7 linked regions of the Macaca mulatta genome follow. The protein of the gene in region 4 purifies or fractionates together with the protein of the main gene of each other region. This does not show direct contact. Links are inferred from orthologs where the notes say so. Each region holds a gene or a part of one and is shown on either strand. Other genes may lie near its edges.

Region 1 (3,500 bases), on a different chromosome or scaffold from region 4:
GAAAAATGATGTCAATAATGCCTACCTCTCAGAGTGCAGGTGAAGCCTGAAGACGTTCATGTGTATAATGTCACCAAAGGCTAGCCCTGTCTGATCTCACCTTTGTGCACGCCAATTGAATGACCAGATTGTAGTATCACACCCCAGAGATCACATGGGAGACCCTCATCATGAGTGAAAGGGCAGCTGCTGCCTTTGGTGACTAGGGAAATGAGACCAGAGGCAAGCCACTTGGCACGTTTTCCTTCAAAAACAACGTGACCTCCCCTCATCCCCATTCCACCTCGTGGGGTTTAGCGAGATCCTGAGGAACAAACGAGCCCAGCTGGAAGGTAAAAAAGCCTTGTGGCTGGCAGGCAGCCATCCTACCTGATGACACAGTTGCCTCGGTTGGATGCAAAGATGACGATGGGGGCGATAGAAGACTCCAGAGCGCGGTGCAGGTAGGTGAAGCACTCAATGTCCAGCATGTGGACCTCATCAACAAACAGCACACCCGGGACCAGCTCAGCAATGCCCTGGTCGATGTACTTGTTCACCACCTTATTAATCTCCCCTCGAAGTTTGTCTAGGAGATGCAAGGATCGGCAGGCAAGGTCAGCACAGGGCTGGGAGAGACTATCGCCTTTTCTCCTCCACCTGAATTCAATCCAAACCCATGCTGGGAGCCTAGTTTTCCTACTAGCTATGTGATCCCTGACAGGGTGTGTCCCCCCACTCCAGGCTTCAGTGTCATCATCTGAACACAGTGATAATCACACCTAAAGGTCACAAAATTGGTAGCCTCCCCCAAAAGATGTGTTTGGTTAAATGTAAAAAGGTAGCACGGGTGTTCTGCATGGGAATCCCTTCACAGCACATGCTCACTGCTGTCACACTCCCTACCATGCCTTATCACCTCCCACACACCCAGTGTAGCTCTGTCTGATCTGGGAGACACTGGAGTTTAGGAGCCCTGAGTGAAATGAGTTTTCACATGCAAATTTTCCTATTCTATACTCAGTAAATGACCCTTTCTTTTGGTCCCATACAACAATGCTTAGGTTAATTAACTTTCAATCAAGTGCCTGGAATAAGGAAGTGGGTGCTTTTAGAATCCCGAGCAGAAACCTTCGAGGAATGAAAGGCTCTGAAGAAAGGCCCAATCTCAGAGCTCCTAGAGGGATGAGTCTCTCAAAAGTTACATAACCCAGCTAAGGTCTCAGTGCTCATTTTCCAAACCAGCTCCTGTGTTATTGTCAGGAGGGAGCAGCTCACAAACAGAAAACTGGAAGATCTGAGGCAGCGTCTTCCACCAAAGGCACAAGGCCGGGATTGTCCGAAGAGGATGCACACTGAAAATCATGTGAAAAGAAAGAAACTGCTCCTGACAACTCAAACAGAAAGGTCTCAGATTGCTGCCCTGGCTAAAACTTTAAAGATAATATTTGCTTTAATGTTTAACTAACATCTTAAAGTGACGAAATTGTAGGTAGAATTAGAAAAAAACAGCAACAGGAAAGCTGGGAAGAGCCGCAGGGTAAAATAAAGGTTCACAGGAGAGCAGCAGCAGTGTCCCCTGTGGAGCTCTAGGAAGAGCCCACGAACTGGGCAGGGCAGTGCGTGGAGCTGGTCTGTGAAGCTGCCCTGTGCTCTACTAGGGAGGGGCTGACAGCACCAAGGCTCCAGAGTCTGTGCTCGGGCAGAGCTGGGCGAAATAAATCCACATTTCTGGGGCCTCATAGGGACCAGAAACTGTGACTGCAGTGGGGCAGAGACCACACAGTGTGCTTGCTGTATGGCTGCCTAAATAATGCCAGAGACTAAGGCTAGAGTCAAGCTCTGAACTATGAGGAAGAAGGAACTGTTCTGAGGCATTTTCTCAGGGTGGATGTGCTCACAGAGCCGCAAGGGCATCTCAGAATGTAGGGCCCTCCACCCTGCCCCTTGCTCGCAGGCCACGCTGGTTCTCCTACCTGTGATTTCTGTCTTCTTTGGCTTCATTAGCTGGCCCATCATGGACAGGATATCTTGTCCCCCCTGCATAAGAGAAGACTTAGAGTCAGTGCTGCTTTGTAAGGTGACTACAGAAGCCTCATCCCCCTGCATCCCACTCATCAACTCAACATGGGATCCTGAGGTAAGGAGACCCCTCCTCAAAGCCTGAGGAGCTTCTAAACACAGAGGAATTTTTAGAGGTTCCCTTGACCTGTAAGAATCAAACAAAATCCTTTCATGGTAAGTATAAGCTCCGTGGGGCCTGCCCAGCCTCCTTCTCCAGCCCTATCTTTTTCCAATCCCTTGTTCCTTGATTAGCCACATGAGACTACCAGCCCTGCCCTGGACACCCGCAAGCTCTTTTATGACTCGATGCTTTTGAGTCTATTCCATCTGCCAGGAATGCCATTCTCCTTCCTAGGAAGTTCCCAGTCATTAAAGTTCAAGTCAAATGCCCTCTAGGGGGCATTTGACCCTAACCAGACTCATGACTTCCTCCCAATGTTTCTGTGCCTTTGGGGACACACGGACTACAAGAGTAAGTATAAAGAGTAAGTATAAATATACCATGATTATACTGCTGTGCCTCCTCTCACTAGATTTGACCACAGGCTTGCATCAGCCTAGTCCTTACTTAACCTAGAGCTACTCAGTCTATGGGCCCCTCCCTGTGGAATGGCTGACTCCATAACAGGTTCACCACTCACCTGCATCCTCCTATGGGCTCCTAAGAGTGCAGTCAGCAAGAGGAAGAGGCTGGTGTTTGGTCATTTGTTCAGCATTTAGTGATCACCTGTTAGTTACCAGGCCCTGAGACACAGAGGTGCTCACTAAATGCTGAATAGCTAAAGGCAGCAAATGTTTCCTGTCTGGTCCTCAAAACTGCCTTGCCAGGTAGGAGAAAACTCAAAATCAGAACCCTAAACCACAGAAAACCCAGAGACCCAAAGTGACAAATTAACCAAGCTGGTCAGTGATGGAGCAACACAGTTCCTGACTTCTGACTCCCAGCCCAACACTCTTCTCAGGTCAAGGGCTCCCAGGAGTTCAGTTTGCGGATGGCCACTTCACCAACCGAGGGGACCTGTTGCTCCAAAATAAGTCTTCAGTAATCTCTTGACCAAAGCTCCAAGGAACAAAACACCCACGGATCAAATTTCAAGTCAGAAAACAAACTATTCCCTAATAGTGAAGAGGTCTTTTTTAGGATGAAGAGGAAACCAAACTGCAAGACCATCACAAGAAACAGTGGTGTCTTGTTTCTTTTAATCACATATTTCCTACAAATGCTGTAAAGTGATAACATCCTTTCCTACATTTTACTAGTCAAGGCATAAGTATCCATCTGCATGAGAAGCAGACAACAGTACCAGCTCAAAGCTAAAACACTGTGGCTTTTGCTAAGCAGGGGGAAAGAAAGAGCTTTGTCAGGCTTTCTGAAATCCTGTAACGGGCTCACAGAACACTCCTGCCCTCCTGCCATTAACACCCAGAGAATCCCAGGCGTGAGCCCACTGCTGGAG
Region 2 (3,500 bases), on a different chromosome or scaffold from region 4:
CTCCCCGGTGGCTAGGAGGTGGGCGTCAGCAGCTTCTCTTTTAGGTGTGTGTCGGATTCCCCTTACCCATTGAGCAAGGTTTTCCTGTTTGTCCCTGGGATGAGAGTGAATGACAGTGTCTTGTGTCTGACTCTTCCAGGTAAAGAAGGCATATAGGCAGAAGGCCCTCTCCTGCCACCCAGACAAAAATCCAGATAATCCAAGAGCAGGTGAGACTCTTCTGAGGGCATGGGGAGAAAGAGCCGCTCACCCAGGCCTGTGTTTCCTGATGTACGCTCTGCACGTGAGTGCTGTGGGGTGTACTTACACACAGCCTGGCTCCGGGCCGTGGGTCCCAGGGCTTCCCTTCATGTTAGGGGTGTCTGGTCAGTTGCTGAGGTGCTCACCCCTCCTAATTGGTCTGTCATCTGCTGATGTCGGCTTTTCTGCCATCCTGTGGCTTTTTTTAAGTGTTTTTTGTTTGTTTGTTTTTTTGAGGGAGCACACCATCACAAAGTCTTTATTTTTCTTCTCTCTCTTTTTGATCCTTATGTTTAGCTGAACTCTTCCACCAGCTTTCTCAGGCCTTGGAGGTGCTGACTGATGCTGCAGCAAGGGTAAGCATAGCCTCCTTCATCGGAATCGTCCCCCTTGATTAGAGACTACTGCTGCCCCTCAACCTCAGTCCTCTGCCCTTTGCCATGTGGCACAGTCCTTGCTGTCTCAGCCCAGGAGACCCAGTCACCAGGCTGCCACTCTGATGGCCCTTGGGCTAGGGGCCAGGCAGATTGCTGGGGCTCTGTCTTTACTCTCCGGCTGACCCTCTGCCCTGTGCCCCTTTCTCCTGCCAGGCTGCATATGACAAGGTCAGGAAAGCCAAGAAGCAGGCAGCAGAGAGGACCCAGAAACTAGATGAAAAAAGGAAGAAAGTGAAGCTTGGTAGGTGCCATCATAGTGCTCGGTGGCCTGTGGTTTCCTGCGGCCATTTTCATTCATCTCCCTCACCTGAAGCTTCACTTCCAGCAACTCATCTCAAAGCCTTTTGGCTCAGGCTCTGGGCAAAATGCTGCTCTTAGAGGTTGGTTCCTAAAGACACTCTTAGGAATAATAATGAGGTTTAATATTAGCTAAGCATGTGACAAATGCCTTATTGTCCCTTTAATTGTCATAACTGTACAAGGAAGTGTGGGTACTAAACCTTTTTTAAAAACATGGTTTTTTGGGGCCGGGCGCAGTGGCTCACGCCTGTAATCCCAGCACTTTGGGAGGCCAAGGCGGGTGGATCACAAGGTCAGGAGATGGAGACCAATCTGGCTATCACGGTGAAACCCCGGCTCTACTAAAAAAATACAAAAAAATTAGCTGGGCGCCGTGGCGGGCACCTGTAGTCCCAGCTACTCGGGAGGCTGAGGCAGGAGAATGGCGTGAACCCGGGAGGCGGAGCTTGCAGTGAGCCGAGATCGCGCCACTGCCCTCCAGCCTGGGCGACAGAGCGAGACTCTGTCTCAAAAAAAAAAAAAAAAAACACGGTTTTTTGAGACAGGGTCTTACCCTGTCACCTAGGCTGGAGAGCAGTGGCACGATCTCAGCTCACTGCAACCCCCACCCCCTGGGTTCAAGTGATTCTGGTTCCTCAGCCTCCCGAGTAGTGGGACTACAGATGTGTACCACCATGCCCAGCTAATTTTGTTCAATTTTTGTGGAGATGGAGTTTCACAATGTTGGCCAGGCTGGTCTTAAACTCTTGGCCTCAAGCTATCCACCTCAGCCTCCCAAAGTGCTGGGATTACAACTGTGCACTGCCGCACCTGGCCTCTGAAGCCATTTTTTATAGGCAAAGGAGCTAAGGCACCAAAAGTTTAAGAGCTTGCTGGAGCTGGGATTTAAACTTATCCAGGGTGAGTAAAATTGGTGCTTGTGGCCGGGTGCGGTGGCTCACACCTGTAACCGCAGCACTTTGGGAGGCTGAGGTGGATCACGAGAGGTGGATCACGAGGTCAGGAGTTCAAGACCAGCCTGGCCAAGATGGTAAAACTCCTTCTCTACTAAAAAAACAAAATTTAGCCGGGTGTGGTGGCGGGCGCCTGTAATCCCAGCTACTCGAGAAGCTGAGGCAGAGAATTGCTTTGTACCCGGGAGGCAGAGGTTGCAATGAGCCGAGATCACGCTGCTGCACTGTAGCCTGAGCAACAGAGCAAGACTCCATCTCAAAAAACAAACAAACAAACAAAAAACTGGTGCTTGTATTCACCATTTCTGGCTGAATCTTTTTTTTTTTTATTTTTTAATAGAGAAACGGGGTTTTGTACTGTCACCCAGGCTAGGGTGGCACCATCATGGCTCACTGCAGCCTCAAACTCCTGGGCTCAAGCAGTTCTTCTGCCTCAGCCTCCTGAGTACCTGGGACTACAGGTGCAAGCCACTGTGCCTGGCTGGGTCTTTTAATTTGTTCTAAACCCAATTCCTACCCAGAGTTTTCACTTTGAGAAGCTCCCTCAGAAGGATTCAAAGAGGTCCAGGCTTTCTCTTCTCTAATAGCTTTATTGAGGTATTCTTTGTATATCATAACATCAACCCATTTCAAGTCTACACTTCAATGATTTTTCGTAAATTTACCAAATGATGCAACTCTGACTATAAATCAGATTTGGAACATTTTCATCAACCCAATAAGATTGGTACAAGCATTTTTTTTTTTTTTCTCACTTAAAAAAACATCACTGGTTATAGCAGCATGGTCCAAGCACTTTTTTTTTTTTTAATTTTTGAGACAGAGTCTCCCTCTGTGGCCCAGGCTGGAGTGCAGTGGCACAATCTCGGCTCACTGCAAGCTCCGCCTCCCAGGTTCACACCATTCTCCTGCCTCAGTCTCCCGAGTAGCTGGGACTACAGACGCCCGCCACCACGCCTGGCTAATTTTTTGTATTTTTAGTAGAGATGGGGTTTCACCATGTTAACCAGGATGGTCTCGATCTGCTGACCTCGTGATCCGCCCGCCTTGGCCTCCCAAAGTGCTGGGATTACAGGCGTGAACCACAGCACCCAGCCTTTTTTTTTTTTTTTTGAAATGGAGTTTCGCTCTTGTTGCCCAGGCTGGAGTGCAGTGGCACAATCTCGGCTCACTTCAACCTCTGCCTCCTGAGTTCAAGCGATTCTCCTACCTTAGCCTCCCGAGTAGCTGGGACTAAATTGCGTTCCACCACACCCAGCTAATTTTTGTATTTTTAGTAGAGACAGGGTTTTGCCACATTGGCTAGGCCGGTCTTGAACTCCTGACCTCAGGTGATCCACCCCCCTCGGCCTTCCAAAGTGCTATGATTACAGGTGTGAGCCACTGTGCCTGGCCCAGTCCAAGCATTCTTTACTTAAGTTTTCTCCTTTTCCTCTTGCTCTTCAACATCTGTATATTTTAATGTGTGCATATAGCATCCCAATATCCATTTCTCTATTAAAAAAAAAAGCAAGTGCTGGGAGACTCCATCTCAAAAAAAAAAAAAGAGAGAGAGAAAAGGAGATTCTAA
Region 3 (4,015 bases), on a different chromosome or scaffold from region 4:
ATCTACAGGGTATTCTTAAAAAGTCCAATTTCTGGCTCAAAAAGGCTGAGATTTGGACCATGGAAGTTAATGCCTCAATCAAAGTGCTAAAGTCTGTTATCTACAGTCAGTTGTACCTAGCCACTTCCAAGAACTTCCCCATCACCATTCTCTCCAACACCCCCATCAAACCTGGCTATTGTTCTCAAGCCTTAAGACTGGGTCTCTGTAGTAAAAACAGCAATTGCAACGATAATAAAAACTAAAACTACAGGTCTTTGATAGAAAAGGAATAGTACTTACATTAACAAAATCTCCACCCTGAATCATGAAATCCTTTATGACCCTGAAACAGAGAGCAAAGAATACTGAGAGAAGATTTTATGGAGACTTTGTTATTATTGTATTAGATTAACATTGATTTCAAAATACACTATAACTTTGGCTATTATAAAATCACCATTCTTAGCTGGGTGCGGTGACTCACGCCTGTAATCCCAGCAGTTTGGGAGGCCGAGGCAGGCAGATCACATGAGGCCAGGAGTTTGAGACCAGCCTGGCCAACATGGCAAAACCCCATCTCTACTAAAAATACAAAAATTAGCCAGTCGTGGTGGCACATGCCTGTATTCCCGGCTACTTGGGAGGCTGAGGCAAAAGAATTGCTTGAACCCAGAAGGCGGAGGTTGCAGTGAGCCAAGATCATGCCACTGCACTCTAGCCTGGGTGACAGAGCGGGACTCTGTCTCAAAAAAAAACCAAAAACCAAAAACCAAAACAACAAAAAAAGAAGATTATTCTTTTCCTGGAATGATTAAGCTGAAAGGATAATTAACCATAAAAAAGGATTTTAGTTATAAATTAGGGCATGTTAGAGTTGATCAAGTGCATGATCTGGTACCTGAACAGTAACAAGAAGAAGGGGCTGAAAGCCTGCAGGAAGAATGACCACATTACTTGCCAAAGCAAAAGGCAGATCAAGGATTTGATGTAAATTTGGGGCAAAGAACTACAGAGAATTTATGTGAAAGGTACTGCTACACATGTAAGGGCTTAACAATTGTTAGCTATTACCCCTAGGGAGGGTCCTTAACCTTTGTTATCCTCAGTTTCCTCCTCTGTAGAATGCAGATCACACATACCACTTCACAGGAGTCTTACTGGGGATTAGAGACCCACAGTTCTAAAGCTGTGATATAATTATGTGCTAACATTGTTACTAACCACAGTGAGGCCATGAGAAAGATTCTATATTGAAATGAGACTAAGTGTTGCCATACTCCACTCCCCAGGAAATATGATTATCCTTGGACAATCATATATGATCATTTTAGGAATTAGTTATAAATAGCAACCAGCAGGATATATTATATGCACTTTAGGATTACAAGTGTACTTCTTTAAAAATCTGCATTTGCACAAACAAGTGCATGAAAAAGACAGGATATTGTAAAGATGAGTAGTTTCTGTTTTAAAGACATAAGAAGTGGGAGAGTATAAGTAGAGTTAGAATATTTAATAAATCTTCAGTTATTGAGTCCACAAAAACATTTCTTCTTAAGAAATGTAAGAATTACCTCTGGTTTTATTTTCCTCTAAAGAGCCTAATCCCCCAGGAAATATTTCTGAAAGACTCTAGGATGGCTTGCCAAAAGCCTTACCTGTGGAAGGTGCTTCCTTTGTATCCTATTGGAACCCCATCTTTTCTATAACAAAAAGAAAGAGACTTGGAGTGATAGCAGGTAGCACAAGGCCTTTCCAGTTTACCATGCACTGGAGCCAAAAGGACTCTCCTAAAGATGGTTGACAGACATAAAGAAGGCAAATAAACTAGGGACAGACCCTTGGGGCATTACCTTCTATCACTGTCACCAGCAATCATTCAAGGCCAGCAGCTGGTTCACCGATACCCTCACCGCAGCCCCAGAACACCCTTCTGGAGCAGGCAAAGAAGTCAAACACATCTGAAACTGACCTGAATTCTCCGGTGCAGAACTGCCTGAAAGGGACAAAAAGTGAACAATTCAATCACTATGACATCACAGTCGTGACCGCCTCTAAAGACGGGAAAGAATAAACAATGGAGCCAGCAAGTCCACCAATCGGCCAGCCAGACGTCCAAACACGGAGACGTACAGACTAACAACGTAAATTAACACGGGAACAATCCAAACGGCAACCAGACAGAGCAATGCACGGAGGAATCAGGTCTCAAGAGCAGTGAGCGGACGGACAGAGGTAGACAGGCTATTCAGGCGGCTGACTAGAGCCCGACTTCTGCCTCAGCTAATCCAGCGGAACTGGAGCACGTCCTTACCTAAAGTTCTCGGCCGTCTTAGGCACAACGTCTGCAAAGAGCTCGATCTTCATGCGGCCAACTTCCTGCAATCAGCGGGAGACTGTCAGAAGGCCCAGTCCAAGACCATGAGGGCTTCACGGAGCTGGGGGCAGGATGGGCTGACCCACCACCCTGCCGCTCGGTATCACCCACCTCCGCCTCTCTGGTCTAACCGCCCAGTTCCTCCAGAAGCGGGGCGCTAGGATTGGGGAGACTTCTCCTCATTTCTCCCCGCCCTGCAGGTCGGTAGGTTCGGGTGCAATTTCGCTTTCTGGCTGGCTTCCCGAGTCCGCTCTCTCTGGGTGAGTTCTGCCTGCCTAGCTAGCCCCGAGCAGTTTCCCTTCGGCGCAGGTGTGGGTAGCGTCCTGGATCTCACCTGACCGCCAATGCTGACATCAAAGAACACCACGGGGTTAACAGGACTTGAATTTGCCACCGCCATGGCTCCGACCCGGAAGCAGAAGTCGGGAGCGTGGGATTCCGGCGAACCTAAAGCCCTGTCCGCGGGTTTCGTCCGGGGAGCAGGCGCGGTGGACGCCGAGAGAGACCGGGCCCCGCCCCCGGAAGCTGTCGCCCCGTGCCGTGTGTGCTGAGGCTGCTGGGGTCTAGCTGGGAGACTCTCCCTGAGACGGGGGACGCGGGAGTGAGGAGGAGGAAAGCCTTGACATCTTTTTGGTTAAGGTCGATGGTCACCCCACTCACGTGGCTGTACTAAGGGCAGTACAAGTTGATCTTGCTCTAGCTAGGGCTTTTGGACTAGGCAGTCGCCAGGGTCCTCCTTATCGGCTCTTGCAACCAAGCCCTCTACACCGCCACACGTGCTGTGTCTGTCTTCTGCCCGCTAGTCTGTGAACACCGTGAAGGCAGGATCTCTGGTTTGTTCATCCTCAGCGTTTAGAACAGCTTGGCACGTAAAGGCTTGCTAAGTAAATATTTGTCCCTTCCTCTAAGTCAGGACAATAGATTATGTTTCCGTTCTGCCACAAGCTCCCAGTTTGGTCATTTCCAATTCGTTTCCCACAGAGTAACTAGAGTTTTTTATTTTTTATTTTTAAAATACCTCTTGTGATTCCTATTTATTTTTAAAATAACTCCTGGCTTCCTATATTTAGAATAAAATCCAATTCTGTACATAGGAAGCCCTCCAGTGCATTAATCTGGCTATTACCTACCTGACCTCATCTTGTACCACTTGCCCTTAGTTACTGTGCTCTGACCTGTCTGCTCCTCCAGGTCACTGAGATCCCTCCTTTCTTTAAGGCCTTGTAATAGCTGTTTCTTCTGTCTGAAATATTCCTTCCAGATCTTAATGTGGGTTGGCGGGGTGATGGTGGGGTTTGGTTGGGCTATGTGTGTGGGAAGTAATGCTCCTTGTAGTTCAGGGCTCACCCCAGATGTTACCTCCTCAGAGGCAACATTAGACCTAATCTAAAGTAGCCCTTGGTCACTCAGATCACTGGTTTGTTTTCTTCATGCCACCCCCCATTTCACATTTGTATGGTATGTGTCTGCACCTCATTTCCTGCCACACACACATACATCTTCCTCCCTAATAGCATATAAACTCCATGAAAGTAGAGACTCTCTCAGTCCTGTTCGCAGCTGTAGCTGCAATGTCTCCTACTGAATAGCACATAGTAGGTAAATATAATAGATTCAATGAATTTAGTGAAAGAAGGGGAACTTGGGCAAGACTCA
Region 4 (3,940 bases):
TGTTTAATTTTGTCTTAAATAGTAGTTAACTGGCTGGGTGCAGTGGCTCACACCTGTAATTCCAGCACTTTGGGAGGGCAAGGTGGGCAGATCACGAGGTCAGGAGATCGACACCATCCTGGCTAACACAGTGAAACCCCATCTCTACTAAAAATACAAAAAATTAGCCAGGTGTGGTGGCACGCACCTGTAGTCCCAGCTACTCAGGAGGCTGAGGCAGGAGAATCACCTGAATCCAGGAGGCAGAGGTTGCAGTGAGCTGAGATTGCACCACTGCGCTTTAGCCTGGGCGACGGAGCAAAACTCTGTCTCAAAATAAATAAATAAATAAATAAACAAATAGTAGTTAACTGTACTAATTACCATCACCAACTATAGTTTATAAGCAATAAATAACAGACTAGAGCATCAGGGCTCTGGAGTTGGAAGACTTAGATTCAAATTCTAACTTTGCCACTAACAACTATGTAACTTCAGGTAAGTTGCTTCATCTCTCCAAACCTGATTCTTATTCCTCAACTGGAAAATGGAATGAATAATCCTCACTGAATAAATGTTTATGAGGATTACAAAAAACACCCTGTGTAAAGAATTTACCAGAGTTCCAGGCTCAATAAACAGCTAGCATTATTTTTTGCCATCCTTGATCATGAGAACCCTGTGTTCCATGCATCTGCTTCTTCCCTTCACTTCTTTTATGATACTAAATTTAATTTTAAAATAATACCAAAAAGTGGCAAGAACAGTACAAATAACTTTCTTTTCCCCAAATATTTGACAGTAAGCTGCTGACACAATGCCTCTTCAGCTCCTAATACTTTAGGGCAAGAATTCACAGACTCTGACCTGTGGCCAAATCTGGCCCCTCCACCTGTTTTTGCATGGTCCTCCAGCTAAGAATGCATTTTACTTTTTTATTTTTTTGAGACAGAGTCCCATTCTGTTGCCCAGGCTGGAGTGCAGTGGCACCATCTTGACTCACTGCAACCTCCACCTCACAGGTTCAAGCGATTCTCCTGCCTCAACCTCCCAAGTAGCTGGGATTACAGGCACCCACCACCTCAGTTGGCTAATTTTTGTATTTTTAGTAGAGATGGGGTTTCACCACATTGGCCAGGCTAGTTTCGAATTCCTGACCTCAGGTGATTCGCCCGCCTCGGCCTCCCAAAGTGCTGAGATTACAGCTGTGAGCCACCGCACCCAGCTGCATTTTACATTTTTAAATAGTTGAGAAAAAAGTACCAATGCTAACACAGTCAACAGCCAAGACAGCACCTTGCATAAGTAGAAACTGGATAAATGTTAACTGAATGGGATGTTTAATTTTAAGATGCTGATATTTCTTGGATTAGACTGGTACCTCCACCTCCCTCAATGCCATCTGCTGGGTGCTGAATGTAGAGAGAGAATCGGAGCTCCAAGGACCAATAACTAAATGTAAATTATTATGGAAACTTTCACATGCATACAGATTCTTTTTACTTCCAAAAAGCTATTATCGCATTTATGCTTATCTCATTCTCCCAAGACCCCAGTCAAGTGCTTGAAGAAATTATTTATCTATTTATTTTATATATATTTTTTGAGACAGAGTTTTGCTCTTGTTGCCCAGGCTGGAGTACAACGGGACGATCTTGGTTCACTGCAACCTCCGCCTCCTGGGTTCAAGAGATTCTCCTGCCTCAGACTCCCGAGTAGCTGGGACTACAGGCGTGCACCACTACGCCCGGCTAATTTTTTTGTATTTTTAGTAGAGGGGGGGTTTCACCATTTTGGCCAGGCTGGTCTCGAACTCCTGACCTCGGGTGATCCGCCCGAGTCTGCCTCCCAAAGTGCTAGGATTACAGGCGTGAGCCACCGCGCCCGGCCGATTGAAAAAAATTTTATATAAAGCTGTTCATGGAACAAGCCAAGTTCAGTTCTGCCTCAGGGCCACTGCACTTGCCATTCTCTTTGTCCAAAACGCTCTTCCCTTTGATATTTTCACCTTGTCCCTTTATTTCAATCAAGTCTCCACTAAAATGTCACCTTCTCTGTCACTCTAAAAAGTCCCCCATACATACTCTCCAACTTCCCACTTTCACTGTTTTATTGTTATTCACAAATGTTATACATTTATCATTAGCTGACTTCTATCTAGTTGTTTACCGTTCATTTCCCCAACTACAGTTTAAGCAAGGGCTTGTTTTGTTTACTTAGAACAGTGCCTAGCGTAGACTAAGCCCTCAATAAGTATTTATCGAACTAATGAGTGACTCTAACATGGTACAGAGAATATAGCTGATTTGCCCACAGTTACACAAAACTAGCGACTCATGGTAACAAACCTCACTGCTGCTTCCCGCTACAATGCAGGCGCTCAAAGGGAACGTCGGAGGGAACTTGGCAGAGAACGGCTGAAGGCGGCACAGATGGAAAAGGGAATGAGCGACGGGACTGGACAGTTAGAGCAACACTCCTTCCTAGGGATACGATTTTACGGACTGAGGCTATAGAGGCAGCCCCGAAATCGAGGTGTGTGCGTGCGTGCGCGCTTCGAAAGCTTTGGGGAGGCACGCGGAGGAGAGGATCTTCCATTATTTTTTCCGCTCCAGGCCTCAATTTACCCATCCGTAAAGCAAAAGGGGCAGATAGCATATAAGGCCTCTTCCAGATCTGACGCTCTTTAATTTCCTATCCCACCTGGAGCAACCATTCCTTGCCGCTAACCCGCTTCAACTTACCTCCCGCCTGCTCAGCTAAGAGTTCTGAGGCCGCCGCCGGAGAACGCGCTTCCGCCCCACGCCAAAGAAACGTCTGCGCCCGCCGCCAGGAAGGACCCCGCAGACGCCGCTGTCGCCTTTCTGCCCGGGAGGACAACCCTCCGCCTGAGGACCAGTTCCGAGGTATGCCCTCGCGGAGACAGGAACTGGCAAGGCGGAGTAGCCGGTCCCCAAGACGAGTAGCCCAAGACGTGGGCTGCTCCAAAGAGGGTGAGACCTGAGGATGAACGAATCTGATCAGGCGCCTCGGGACTACCCTGAAATGGGGGGGGGGGCCTTCCGGCAGATCACGTGGCCAGGCTGTTAGCGCAGTTGCTGGGCAACCACAGCTGCGGGAGTGGTCTGCGCGGGGCTGCTCTCATGTTGACTTATCAGGGGATCTCCAAAGAAAACAAGGGGACCAAGGACGGGGCTGCTGGGGTGAAGGTCCAGGAGGCTGAGTAAGGGGACAGAAGGGTTAGTAAATGCCTGGGGAGGGCTGAGAACTGGACACTTGAGTTCGGTTACTGGCCAGCCCAGCCCCTTCTTGGCGTTCAGATTCCCCACGTTGGGGTAGGGTGGCTGTGGGATTGGTTGGGGACCTCCTGCTTCCTTGCGCTAGGGCTGTTGGTGATGACCCCGCCACAAAATCTAACTCAACTCACTAGGAGTTTGCAGTTCAGAGAGGTCCCACAACAAGTAAATGCCAGAGCCACGACTAGAACCCACGTAGAGAATCTCTCTGCAGGTGGCTCACGCCTGTAATCCCAGCACTTTGGGAGGCCGAGGCGCGCGGATCACTTGAGGTCGGGAGTTCGAGACCAGCCTGGCCAACATGATGAAACCCCGTCTCTCCTAAAAATACAAAAATTAGGCGGGCGTGGTGGTGCACGCCTGTAGTCCCAGCTCCTCGGGCGGCTGAGGCACGAAAATTGCTTGAACTCCGGAGGCAGAGGTTGCAATGAGCCGAGATCATGCCACTGCACTCCAGCCTGGGTAACAGAGCAAGACCCTGTCTAAAAAAAAGAAAAGAATATCTCTGTAGAAATCAGTCAGCCTCAGATACGCAGAAGCTACAGAAGTACAGTGGTAGAACTAAAGACATTGCCCAGGTACCTAGGGACCTCTGTTCCAGCCCTGGGCTGGACAGAGGGATTTGGGATCGGGTCATTGAGCTCCTTCCTCTGCCCCTTCTGCTT
Region 5 (3,500 bases), about 66 Mb from region 4:
CAGGTGCCCGCTACCTGTAATCTAGCTTTTTTTTTTTTTTTTAAATTTTTATTTATCTATTTTTTTTTTTTGAGACTGTCTTGCTCTGTTGCCCCGGGGGAATGCAATGGCACGATCTCGGCTCACCACAATCTCTGCCTCCCGGTTCAAGCGATTCTCCTGCTTCAGCCTCCCGAGTAGCTGGGACTACAGGCGCGCACCACCATGCTTGGCTAATTTTTGAATTTTTAGTAGAGATGGGGTTTCACTATGTTAGCCAGGCTGGTCTTGAACTCTTGACCTCAGGTGATCCACCCTCCTTGGTCTCCCAAAGTGCTGGGATTACCAGCGTGAGCCACTGTACGCAGCCTCACTGGACTTACTTTCTCACATCTTTTTTCATTTATACATGTAGACAGGGCTCTTTCCAGGGACCTATTTGGAGACCAGCTATGAGTGTATCCTTACTGCCCCTTTAAATTCACATGGGCAGTCTTAGTTCCTGGTTTTTGCCTTAAGGTTTCTCATTTACCCTTTTGTTTTAGATGTTGTTTAGATGTTGAGGACCCAGAGTTGTTTTTTTCTTTTTACTCCTCTACTGCCATCCATATATTCGTCTGTATGTATATATGTATATATATATTTTTTTTTTTTTTTTTTTTTTTTTTTTTCTGAGACGGAGTCTGGCTCTGTCACCCAGGCTGGAGTGCAGTGGCGCGATCTCGGCTCACTGCAAGCTCCGCCTCCCGGGTTTACTCCATTCTCCTGCCTCAGCCTCCCGAGTAGCTGGGACTACAGGCGCCCGCCACCTCACCCGCCTAGTTTTTTGTATTTTTTAGTAGAGACGGGGTTTCACCGTGTTAGCCAGGATGGTCTCGATCTCCTGACCTCGTGATCCGCCCGTCTCGGCCTCCCAAAGTGCTGGGATTACAGGCTTGAGCCACCGCGCCCGGCCTGTATGTATATTATACATATATGCCCCACCTCTGCCCAGGTTTCTGTTGCTGTTTAAATGCATTGCTAACTTGTGTTCTTAACTTCTGCTTGGGATTATAGGGCCCTGTAGGGAAGGGTCCTGGCTGTGGCTTTTGGGCTGCTGGTTGGCGAGTCTGGCTGTTTTTCATGCGTGGCATTACCCCTTTGTTGGAGCGATGGCTGGGCAACCTCCTGGCCCGGCAATTTGAAGGTGAGTGGTTTTCTCTGTGTCCAACTTCTCCTGTTACTGCTTCAAAGCTACCTCTTGTTGTCTGAGTCTATTCCCTGCTCTTGTATGAGCACCCCTTCCTACTGGATTGCCTTCAGGTTCAGTTCTCAAAATGAGTCTGACCTAGTTTTCTATTTCTTGGGCTTCCTTCTGGGGCCTTGAGAGGCAATCATGCACTTGCAGGAGTGGACATTCTTCAGAAGCGTAGTTGTGAATGTTTAAGGTAGCTCATCTTTTTGCATATGCTGGGCACATGGACGCTTTGTTAATACCTAATTTTATTGTGACCATAATAAGTGAGGGACATGAAGGTAGAGATCCTTATTGAAAGCAAGGAATCATGCTTGTAATCCCCTTGGGATACTCTACTTCTAGGTCGACACTCAAAGGGGGTGGCAAAGACAGTAACAAAACAGCGAGTGGAGTCACATTTCGACCTGGAGCTGCGGGCAGCTGTGATGCATGATATTCTGGACATGATGCCTGAGGGGATCAAACAGAACAAGGCCCGCACAATCCTCCAGCACCTCAGTGAAGCCTGGCGCTGCTGGAAAGCCAACATTCCCTGGAAGGTGGGCGTCTCTGCATTTCCTTGGAGGGTGAACATCGTCTTTAGGTCAGGATCACCACTCTGGGACTCATGAAGGGCCTATCTGGCTCCCACCTCTTTTCTTTTCTCTTTTAGAGAGGTGCTTGCTGTGTTGCTTAGGCTGGCCTCAAGCTCAAGCTCCTGAGCTCGAGCAGTCCTCCTCAGCCTCCTGAGTAGCCGGGACTACAGGTGTGCACCGCAGCACCTGCTTTATCCCGGCTTGATTGTGCTTTTTGGACTTTTAGGTCCCTGGACTGCCAACGCCCATAGAGAATATGATCCTTCGATATGTGAAGGCCAAGGCTGACTGGTGGACCAACACTGCCCACTACAACCGAGAACGGATCCGCCGAGGGGCCACTGTGGACAAGACTGTGTGTAAAAAGAACCTGGGCCGCCTCACCCGGCTGTATCTGAAGGCAGAACAGGAGCGGCAGCACAACTACCTGAAGGTTGGGCAGAGTAGGCTGGGCTGGCTGTGAGCGGTCGGGGAGTGGGCATGAGGGAGGACTGCAGAGTTGTGACTGAACCTTGTTCTCGAGGGAGTGGGCTATAGCGGGAGGCTAATTTCATGTCCACCTTGCAGGACGGGCCTTACATCACGGCGGAGGAAGCAGTGGCAGTATATACCACCACAGTGCATTGGTTGGAAAGCCGCAGGTTCTCACCCATCCCATTCCCCCCACTCTCCTATAAGCATGACACCAAGTTGCTCATCTTGGCATTGGAGCGGCTCAAGGAAGCTTATAGGTGAGTATTAGGGTAGATAGGTTCCTGCTGGGAAGGTGACAGCAGGGAATAGCATCACCCTCAGAGTCCAAAGAAAGAAGGTGTAGCCCCAGCCTCTTCTGGTTTTACTTCCTCCTGGTTTTCCCATTCACCGTTCCCATTGCCTTATCAGTGTGAAGTCTCGGTTGAACCAGTCACAGAGGGAGGAGCTAGGTCTGATTGAGCAGGCCTACGATAACCCCCACGAGGCGCTGTCCCGCATCAAGCGTCACCTCCTCACACAGAGAGCCTTCAAAGAGGTGAGTGAGAGCCTCCCAAGTTTTCTTTTTGGTTCTGCCTTTCATTCTTGGTAGAACCAAAGGTAGCAGGTTGCCTCAGGTGATTGGTGTGAACCAGCCTCCTTGTACCACAGGTGGGCATTGAGTTCATGGATCTCTATAGCCACCTGGTTCCAGTATACGACGTAGAGCCACTGGAGAAGATAACTGATGCCTACCTGGACCAATACCTGTGGTATGAAGCCGACAAGCGCCGCCTGTTCCCACCCTGGATTAAGCCTGCTGACACAGAACCACCTCCACTGCTTGTTTACAAGTGGTGCCAAGGTAGAACTTTCCTGAGATTGCCCTGTGAGGAATGGGGGATGAATTTAGTTCTATGTCAAAATTCTCATCTGGGCAGCATGATTGGTTTACTCTCCTGATGCATGGTAGTAAAAGGAAGTAGTGTTCCTGTTAAACTGAGGAAAGCCCATAGTCAAAGCAATCCGGATGACTACGTGGAATGGTAGTGGGATTGGTTGTGGAAGGTGATGATAATTACTGTGGGGCTAGTCCTGAAAGAGGATTTCTAACCTGCTGGAGACCTGCCTTGCTACTCCTCAGGCATCAATAACCTGCAGGACGTGTGGGAGACAAGTGAAGGCGAGTGCAATGTCATGCTGGAGTCCCGCTTTGAGAAGATGTATGAGAAGATCGACTTGACCCTGCTCAATAGGCT
Region 6 (3,500 bases), on a different chromosome or scaffold from region 4:
TACTTAATAAAGGCCCCAAAGTGCGAAAGTATTGATGTTGGCAATTTGGATATGCCAAAGAGAAGGTGTAGAGTGCTTTAAATGAAAAGGTGAAAATTATCGACTTAATAAAAAAAACTGTATGCTGAAGTTGCTGAGATCTAAGGTAAAAACGAATCTTCCATCTGTGAAACTGTGAAGAAGGAAAAAGAAAGTCATGCTAGTTTTGCTGTTGCACCTCAGACTGCAAAAGTTATAGCCACTGTATGTGGTAAGTACTTAATAAAGATGGAAAAGGCTTTAAATTTGGGGGTGGAAGACATCAACAGAAATGTGTTCCAAGTGACAGCAGTTGGGTCGAAGTTTCAGGTATCCACTGGGGGTCTTGGAACATATCCCCTGTGGATGAGGGGAGACTATTGTACCTCAAAAACATCTGGAGACCTATGCATGAAATACTGTCCTGCTCTTAAGTATCTCCTTTCCCAAACAGTCCTGTGTAACCTGGGAAATATTCCCAAGTACAATAAAGGACACCCTCCACCCCCTTTTTGGCCCACAGGATGAAGTGCGAGCTCACTTGCTACAGTTGATGATTATATCCTCAGGCATGATTCGTCTCTTCAGCATGCCCATCTTAGGGTGGTTGCCCCGGCCACGGAAAAGCCCGGGAGGCTCTATCTTGAAGTTAGCAATCCTCTCTTTGTGGTTATCCATAATACAGAAGCCATATTCTTTCAGTAATTTTTCATTCTCCTCTTTGATTTTCTGGAAGACAGCCAAGAAAGTACTCAAAATAGATTCCGATGCTGTTCTCTACTAATACATTTTTATCTCTTGTGGGAGACTAGGTCAAGATAGAGAAAAGTCTGAAAATGACTAAAAAATGAATTCAAATAAAGGAAAACCTCTAGTGGTTTTCTCAAACTTAAATATCATAAAATTCCCCAAAAAGATCTGCCTATAAGGATTGATTTCAACTAGATTCAAAACTGATTCCTGTGTCTTAAAGGATATATGTTTATAAATGTTGTTTGGGTGTTTTTAAATGTACTTTAAAAATTCGTACTATTTTATTGAGTACTATCAAAACAGGAAATGGAGAGGGGTCTCTGATAGAGCCTCATAAAAGAATAGCTCGAGCCATTTAATTAAAACAGCAGTTAAACAGCTAAAAACATGGGTTTTAAAGTCCAGACAGATCTGTCACTAATTTTTTTGTAGGTATACAGGTTAAATGCTCTATACTATGATCCTTGCTCCAAAAAGGTGGGGTATGGTGGGCAAGATTTTGAGCCTCCTTACCCTCTATTGACTCTTTTTATATACTTATTGATTCAATTTAACTAAGCCCTGCTGCCTTGTGGGTGGGAACAGACCTTGCTGGCAGCAGGTGTCCTTGCAGGGACTCTGACAAGGGGATGTTTATAAAATCTATCTTTGGATCAGTATTCTAAGAACAAAGCTCCAAAGTGATCTTTTAAGTTTCAAAATGCCCCGATGTAAATAATATACTAAATTTCACTAACTTGGAATATTGAGGATAAGATTTACCTGAGACAGAAAGTCTGATGCAATTAACATTCTTATAGTAACACATTAATTTTTAAACTAGTGGCCAAATAAGTACCATGAAACAATGAGTTATATAAATACAATGGCCTGAATTATATAAACATGCAAGTCCTTCAAAATACTGAAACTACAGGAATTTGAAGTGCAAAAAATTCCTTAAAATCCTTAACTTCTAGACTTCCGATTGGAAAAAATGAAATTCTAGCCTGGATTCCTTTAGTTAGGGGCTGACAACTTTTTCTAGATAGAAAATATTTTAGGCTTGAGTGCCACACAGTCTCTTTTGCAACTACTCTCTTTTGCAACTACTCATCTCTGTCATTGTTGCATAAACACAGCCATAGATAATATGTAGAAAAGTAGGGGCAGCTGGTTCCAATAAACTTTTGTTTTCTTTTTTTTTTTCTTTTTTTACAAAAACAGGCAGCCTGTAGAAGAAAAATGACATCCCAGCTGGATACCAGAAAAATTCTTCAGTAATGAGGATGGCCAAGGCTGGAAGATGGAGATGGATGAGCACTGCAAGATTCCACAGTAAAACAGATAAAAGAACAGGAAGGTATATGGCCAATATGATTTCATCTGTCTTAAATCCTTAATATCCAGTAGCCACTGTGGGACAGTTCTGTCCATCCTTAATTACTATATTATTGGCTGGAGTTACTGACTGGTTTTTAGGTCACTGAAGCACCAGGGTTCCTATAGAGAGCTACTGAGCAAAGTACTTATTCACAATTTTCAGTCTAACTAAAACCTTTAAGAAAATTTAGACTTTGAGAATTCTAAGTCTTTAGCACAGAATGATGTGAAATTACTGATGTTAAGTGTTGTGTCGTAAGAACCAAGAAGAAAATTAAATGAACCAATCACGATTCCAAAATTCTCCAGAGGTTTAATAAATTCTGTAGTACCAGTTTCTCTTCCTTGCTCATCTGTTTCCGAGCTTCCGACTGGGCTTTGAAATACTGGCTCATCTGGGTAAAATCACATTTGCTTAGGTTGGTGATAATATTCTTCTCTTCATTAGTCATTTCCTAGTCAAAAGAAAACAGGGAGATGAAAGAAAAACAACTAAACTACACTAGTAAGTCCTTGGGTTTCTTTGCGAATATACCCAAGCACCATTTTTTCAGTCAAAGGTTTTTCGAAGTAGCCAATCTCAATTAATGAATTTTGAAAAAACAAAAAAACACAGAATAAAAAATATTTCTTTATTATAAAATATGTATTTAATAATATCAAAATGTTTTAAAATGACTTATCATGGAAAAAAATGAACTCTTATGTGGTTTCTTAGACTCCGTGGCACACTGTCCCCAGGCGCATGAATACAAGTTTGGAATTCCATACTGATTCTCTCTTAGAAACATTACCCCTATTCTATTCATTTATTAAATTTGCTTTTCAGAGCTAGTTCAGGAAGTAAACTTTACTGCTGCCTCTGTCCACATTATCCAAATTGAGAATAATGAGATTTTAAAAAATCACCTAGGCAAATATAGTATATGTTGTTTCAAGAGTAGAAAGTACCTAGAACAAATGAGCAAGAATTAACAGGGAGTGAACAGGGAGTGGGACATCAGATTAACATTTCTCTTTGCAACAGCAGACACTGGGCAGTCCTGCAGAGACAAACTTTCCTATGCGCAACTAGAGTTGAGGTTTTCTGTTTGGCCTAATCTCATAACCCCCTACCTGCCATCACATGACAGCCGATAGCAAAGATATACGAGTATTCTTTTTTTTTTAAGACGGAGTCTGGCTCTGTCACCCAGGTTGGAGTGCAGTGGCACAATCTCGGCTCACTGCAAGCTCCGCCTCCCAGGTTCACACCATTCTCCTGACTCAGCCTCCCGAGTAGCTGGGACTACAAGCACCCGCCATCACACCCGGCTAATTTTTCTATTTTATAGTAGAGACAGGGTTTCACCATGTTAGCCAGGATG
Region 7 (3,500 bases), on a different chromosome or scaffold from region 4:
TGAGTTATGGGGCATCACCTGACCTGGAGACAGACCAGCCACACGGCAACACAGTCGTGTCTACACAGCAGAGCCACAATAAAGACTGAACACCACGGCCCAGGCAAGCGTCCCTGGCCCAGGCTTAAGTGCAGTGGTGCAATCTTGGCTCGCTGCAACCTCCGCCTCCCGGGCGCAAAGTATCCTCCCATCTCAGCCTCCCAAGTAGCTGGGATGACAGGCAAGCGCTGCCACACCGGGTTTTTTATTCTTGTAGAGACAGGGTGTTTCCAATCCCATTGGAATCAAGACAAAAAAAAGAGTCGGGGTCTCACTATGTTGCCCAGGTTAGTCTTCAACTTCTGGCCTCAAGTGATGCTCCCGCCTCGGCCTCGCAAAGTGCTGGGATTACGGGTGTGAGGCTGGCGGCCCTGTGTGTGCTGTCAGGCATCGATGCCGGGAGGGTGATGTGTCCTGACTGCGGGGAGAGGACACATCGCCCTCCGAGGTTGGTGACCTCTCCTGCTCCTCCTGTGTGTCTCTCCCTGTGGCTAATGTTAATCTGTTATACAGTCCCCAGCACAGCAGCCCTCAGGGGTTCCGTGTCTTTCCAGTGACGGTGGCCTTCGGAGCAGCTGCTAACCCGACGCTGCTTGTCGTGAGCTAGGCCTGCCTTGTGAGGGCCTCGTCTACATGGAGCCCTCGCCCCAACTCGTGAAGCAGGCGCTGTGCTCCCATTTTCGAGGGGAGGAGACTGAGGCACAGGGCACTCACGCCTCTTGCCCACAGTCACCCGACAGGTGTGCTGCAGAACCCTGGCTCTCACATCCCATGCTACCCTGTCCCCGGCTCCTGAGTGCTACTGTCAGCTGGGCCAGATGGTGGGGGTGGCTGCTCAGGCCGTCTGGGCAGGCGGAAGGCTCCAGGGGAGCCGGGGGAGGGGCTGTGACGCGGTGGGCTCACCGGGGGCAGGGACTGCACAATGTCACTGTGGTAGATGTAGCCGGTGTGGGGCAGCACTGAGGTAGACGAGAAGCCCGACAGCGTCTTGCGCTGGGCCCCGAGCAGCATGATGTTGCAGGCGGGCATCTTGGAGAGGTTGGTCAGGCCGCCGGCCACGCCTGCGGTGGGAGGAGGACAGGGGCGGTCAGAAGAAAGCGGGGGAGGCGGGGGTGCGCACATCTGCCTGGGGGCTCGACATGTGCCAAGCACCTTTACGTGAGGTTCTGGCTGGATTCCTCGGTGGCCCTGCCAGGCGGGCGACCTGGCCCATTCCGCGAGGGGCAGACGCAAAGGAGGCTCAGAGAGGGAGGGCAGCTGGCCTGGGGTGCAGGGAGGAGGCCCCCAACAGGCAACTGACCACCACGTTTGTGCTAAGCCACACTACCCCCATTCCAGGGATGTCTGTGTTTTGGAACCATTTTCACCAAACCAGGAGCCCCCTGACAACAGGGCCTGGGTGTGGTCATCTCTGGCTTTCCGGCACAGGGGAGGGAGGAGGAGCTGTGGGTGAGTGTTTCTCCCAGACGAGGCTTTGCTGTGTGCCAGGCTGGCTGACCTCTGTCACGTCCAGGGAGACGGGGTGTTGAGGCCCAGGTGCCAAAGTCCCCATTCTACAGAAAAGGGAAGCAGCTTCCCCCAGATCACAGTGTCAGCAGAGTCCCGCTCCATGGGACCCAGCCCAGGGCCTCACCCATGATCTTGGCGGCCGTGGACGCCCCAATAATGATGGAGAGGTTGGGCGCGATGAAGGACATCCGGGACTCCACGTACTCGTAGATGCGGTGCTTGGAGGCGTTCAGCTCCAGCGCCATGTCACAGGCCTCCTCCAGCCGCTCCAGCTCCTCCTCCGACAGCTGCTGCCTGCAGGGGCGGGTGGGCCCAGCCTCCTGGGTCTCCCGCCTGCTTGGTGCCCAGCACCCACCCTCTCAGTTGTGTGTGTGTGCACGTGTGTGTGTGTGTGTGTGTGTGCGTGTGTGTGTATGCCCACCTGCGTGGGTAGCTTCAGCCTAATCCCCAGTCCCACTGGCCCGGGCCCGGCGCCTCCCTCCAGCGGACATACCCCTGGGTGGTGGAGGCGGTGACGCTGACGACCATGATGGTGGCGTTGGTGAGGATCTGCTGCAGGTTCTCATTGTTCTTGCACTTGTCCAGGCTGTTGCCCAGCTCCTGGGCGCGAGCAGAGAAGACAGGGGAGGCTCAGGAACTCAGGAAGGCTTGAGAGCCTCTCTGGCCCTGCACCTACTCGGGTCTCTTCTCGGGGACACTGGGAAAGTCAGGGTCTCTACACTGGGGGCCTCTCCTGCCTCCACCGCCTGAAGCATCCACACCGTCTGCTCTGCTTTGGAAACGGAACCTGGGCAGAGCAGCGTCTGGGAAGACCGCGGCCTCACAAGCCTCTGCCTGTGTCGAGTCGGAGCACAAACCCGCGGCCTCGCTTCCCTGCGGGGGCTTCCCCCACCACCATCCTGATCCTTTCCCGGACACACGTGGGGACCGCCTCCTCTCCCTGCCCTCACCTGCATCCGCCCCTCTTTTCCGAAACCCTTCCTTGGCTTTCTCATAAGACCCAAAGGCTCAGTGTGATCCGACCTCTTCCGCGTCCCCTCCTTCCCCGCCTCACTTCCTCCCCGCTTGTTCCCTCTCCGGCTCTCCATACTTAACACATCTCTCTCCCCCAAATCTCCGCGTGCCTGCCCTGTGACGACCTTCGGATGTCAACTCCAATGCCACCGGCTCCGACCACAGCGGAAGCAGCGCGGGTCAGGCCAGCGGGGAAGCCCTCTCGGGAGACTGGGGTACGAGGGGAGCCCTGAGAAAGTCCCATCCAGGCTCCGTCCCTCTCACCCTGGGCAGAGCAGGCCACTGAGCCTCCGTCCACTCCTCTCCTTCACCTCCAGACCCCGAGGCCTCTGGGGGCGGGTCCAAGAGTGAGCCCTGCCTGCACCTTCACACCAGCAGAAGCACCGCTCCTCCTCTGCTCTCACCTTGACCGTGCGGATGTAATCCAGTGCATTGGGGACCAAGGACTCCAGTTCAGGGAATCTCTTCGAGTACTTATCCCGGATGAACTTATGGATGATGTCTAGGGTAAACGGGACAGGCGGGTGTCAGGTGAGACGGGAGGCAGACTCTGCTGGTTGGCCCTAACACCCACGTCCCCTTCTTCCTTTAGTAACTGAAGCCCTGGCTTGTAGCCTGGCATACGGGCACCAGCATACAGGCTCCATTTTTCAGCCGCCCTTACCGCTAGGTGTGACCAGGGGAATTAGTTCTGGTCTGTAAAATGTGAGCTGCAGTGACATGTTCTTAAAAAAAAGAAGTGCCTTGCTGGTGGGAATGCAGAGGCGACGGCTGGACGTGGGGCAGTCCCCTCGCACCACGAGGCAGGTGGCCGACCAACAAGATGGAAAGGGCTGGGGCCTTACGGGCAGCCAAGCGGCCACGCCGTCCCCGAGTGCTCGCTCAGACTCATACGCGAGGGAGCCACGCCGTCCCCGAGTGCTCGCTCAGACTCATAC

Evidence for each region.
Region 1: the proteins of EFTUD2 (region 4) and RUVBL1 purify together in Homo sapiens (affinity purification with mass spectrometry; 4 studies listed by BioGRID and IntAct, with this or other methods). This does not show direct contact. The link is inferred for Macaca mulatta from reciprocal best matches to the Homo sapiens genes EFTUD2 and RUVBL1.
Region 2: the proteins of EFTUD2 (region 4) and DNAJC17 purify together in Homo sapiens (affinity purification with mass spectrometry; 4 studies listed by BioGRID and IntAct, with this or other methods). This does not show direct contact. The link is inferred for Macaca mulatta from reciprocal best matches to the Homo sapiens genes EFTUD2 and DNAJC17.
Region 3: the proteins of EFTUD2 (region 4) and PPIH purify together in Homo sapiens (affinity purification with mass spectrometry; 3 studies listed by BioGRID and IntAct, with this or other methods). This does not show direct contact. The link is inferred for Macaca mulatta from reciprocal best matches to the Homo sapiens genes EFTUD2 and PPIH.
Region 5: the proteins of EFTUD2 (region 4) and PRPF8 purify together in Homo sapiens (affinity purification with mass spectrometry; 9 studies listed by BioGRID and IntAct, with this or other methods). This does not show direct contact. The link is inferred for Macaca mulatta from reciprocal best matches to the Homo sapiens genes EFTUD2 and PRPF8.
Region 6: the proteins of EFTUD2 (region 4) and TOP1 purify together in Homo sapiens (affinity purification with mass spectrometry; 3 studies listed by BioGRID and IntAct, with this or other methods). This does not show direct contact. The link is inferred for Macaca mulatta from reciprocal best matches to the Homo sapiens genes EFTUD2 and TOP1.
Region 7: the proteins of EFTUD2 (region 4) and PRPF31 purify together in Homo sapiens (affinity purification with mass spectrometry; 4 studies listed by BioGRID and IntAct, with this or other methods). This does not show direct contact. The link is inferred for Macaca mulatta from reciprocal best matches to the Homo sapiens genes EFTUD2 and PRPF31.

Annotation. Positions count from the first base shown.
Region 1 is NC_133407.1:155,874,757-155,878,256, reverse strand, and holds part of RUVBL1 (ruvB-like 1), read right to left. Parts: intron 2,020-3,500; coding exon 1,956-2,019; intron 569-1,955; coding exon 370-568; intron 1-369. UniProt on the Homo sapiens protein: Possesses single-stranded DNA-stimulated ATPase and ATP-dependent DNA helicase (3' to 5') activity; hexamerization is thought to be critical for ATP hydrolysis and adjacent subunits in the ring-like structure contribute to the ATPase activity.
Region 2 is NC_133412.1:18,126,749-18,130,248, reverse strand, and holds part of DNAJC17 (dnaJ homolog subfamily C member 17), read left to right. Parts: intron 1-139; coding exon 140-209; intron 210-537; coding exon 538-596; intron 597-830; coding exon 831-918; intron 919-3,500. UniProt on the Homo sapiens protein: May negatively affect PAX8-induced thyroglobulin/TG transcription.
Region 3 is NC_133406.1:198,100,205-198,104,219, forward strand, and holds the start of PPIH (peptidyl-prolyl cis-trans isomerase H), read right to left. Parts: upstream 2,801-4,015; 5' UTR 2,760-2,800; coding exon 2,694-2,759; intron 2,362-2,693; coding exon 2,297-2,361; intron 1,979-2,296; coding exon 1,955-1,978; exon of another isoform or gene 1,862-1,954; coding exon of another isoform or gene 1,836-1,861; intron 1,686-1,835; coding exon 1,641-1,685; intron 326-1,640; coding exon 283-325; intron 1-282. UniProt on the Homo sapiens protein: PPIase that catalyzes the cis-trans isomerization of proline imidic peptide bonds in oligopeptides and may therefore assist protein folding. Participates in pre-mRNA splicing.
Region 4 is NC_133421.1:69,270,413-69,274,352, forward strand, and holds the start of EFTUD2 (116 kDa U5 small nuclear ribonucleoprotein component), read right to left. Parts: upstream 2,801-3,940; 5' UTR 1,869-2,800; intron 310-1,868; exon of another isoform or gene 188-309; intron 1-187. UniProt on the Homo sapiens protein: Required for pre-mRNA splicing as component of the spliceosome, including pre-catalytic, catalytic and post-catalytic spliceosomal complexes. Component of the U5 snRNP and the U4/U6-U5 tri-snRNP complex, a building block of the spliceosome.
Region 5 is NC_133421.1:3,233,291-3,236,790, reverse strand, and holds part of PRPF8 (pre-mRNA-processing-splicing factor 8), read left to right. Parts: intron 1-1,035; coding exon 1,036-1,165; intron 1,166-1,558; coding exon 1,559-1,755; intron 1,756-2,017; coding exon 2,018-2,224; intron 2,225-2,358; coding exon 2,359-2,522; intron 2,523-2,673; coding exon 2,674-2,800; intron 2,801-2,913; coding exon 2,914-3,106; intron 3,107-3,385; coding exon 3,386-3,500. UniProt on the Homo sapiens protein: Plays a role in pre-mRNA splicing as core component of precatalytic, catalytic and postcatalytic spliceosomal complexes, both of the predominant U2-type spliceosome and the minor U12-type spliceosome.
Region 6 is NC_133415.1:93,964,259-93,967,758, reverse strand, and holds part of TOP1 (DNA topoisomerase 1), read right to left. Parts: intron 2,589-3,500; coding exon 2,466-2,588; intron 748-2,465; coding exon 560-747; intron 1-559. UniProt on the Homo sapiens protein: Releases the supercoiling and torsional tension of DNA introduced during the DNA replication and transcription by transiently cleaving and rejoining one strand of the DNA duplex.
Region 7 is NC_133424.1:66,351,068-66,354,567, reverse strand, and holds part of PRPF31 (U4/U6 small nuclear ribonucleoprotein Prp31), read right to left. Parts: intron 3,070-3,500; exon of another isoform or gene 3,065-3,069; coding exon 2,967-3,064; exon of another isoform or gene 2,880-2,966; intron 2,778-2,879; exon of another isoform or gene 2,149-2,777; coding exon 2,042-2,148; exon of another isoform or gene 1,843-2,041; coding exon 1,673-1,842; exon of another isoform or gene 1,378-1,672; intron 1,101-1,377; coding exon 943-1,100; intron 780-942; exon of another isoform or gene 327-779; intron 1-326. UniProt on the Homo sapiens protein: Involved in pre-mRNA splicing as component of the spliceosome. Required for the assembly of the U4/U5/U6 tri-snRNP complex, one of the building blocks of the spliceosome.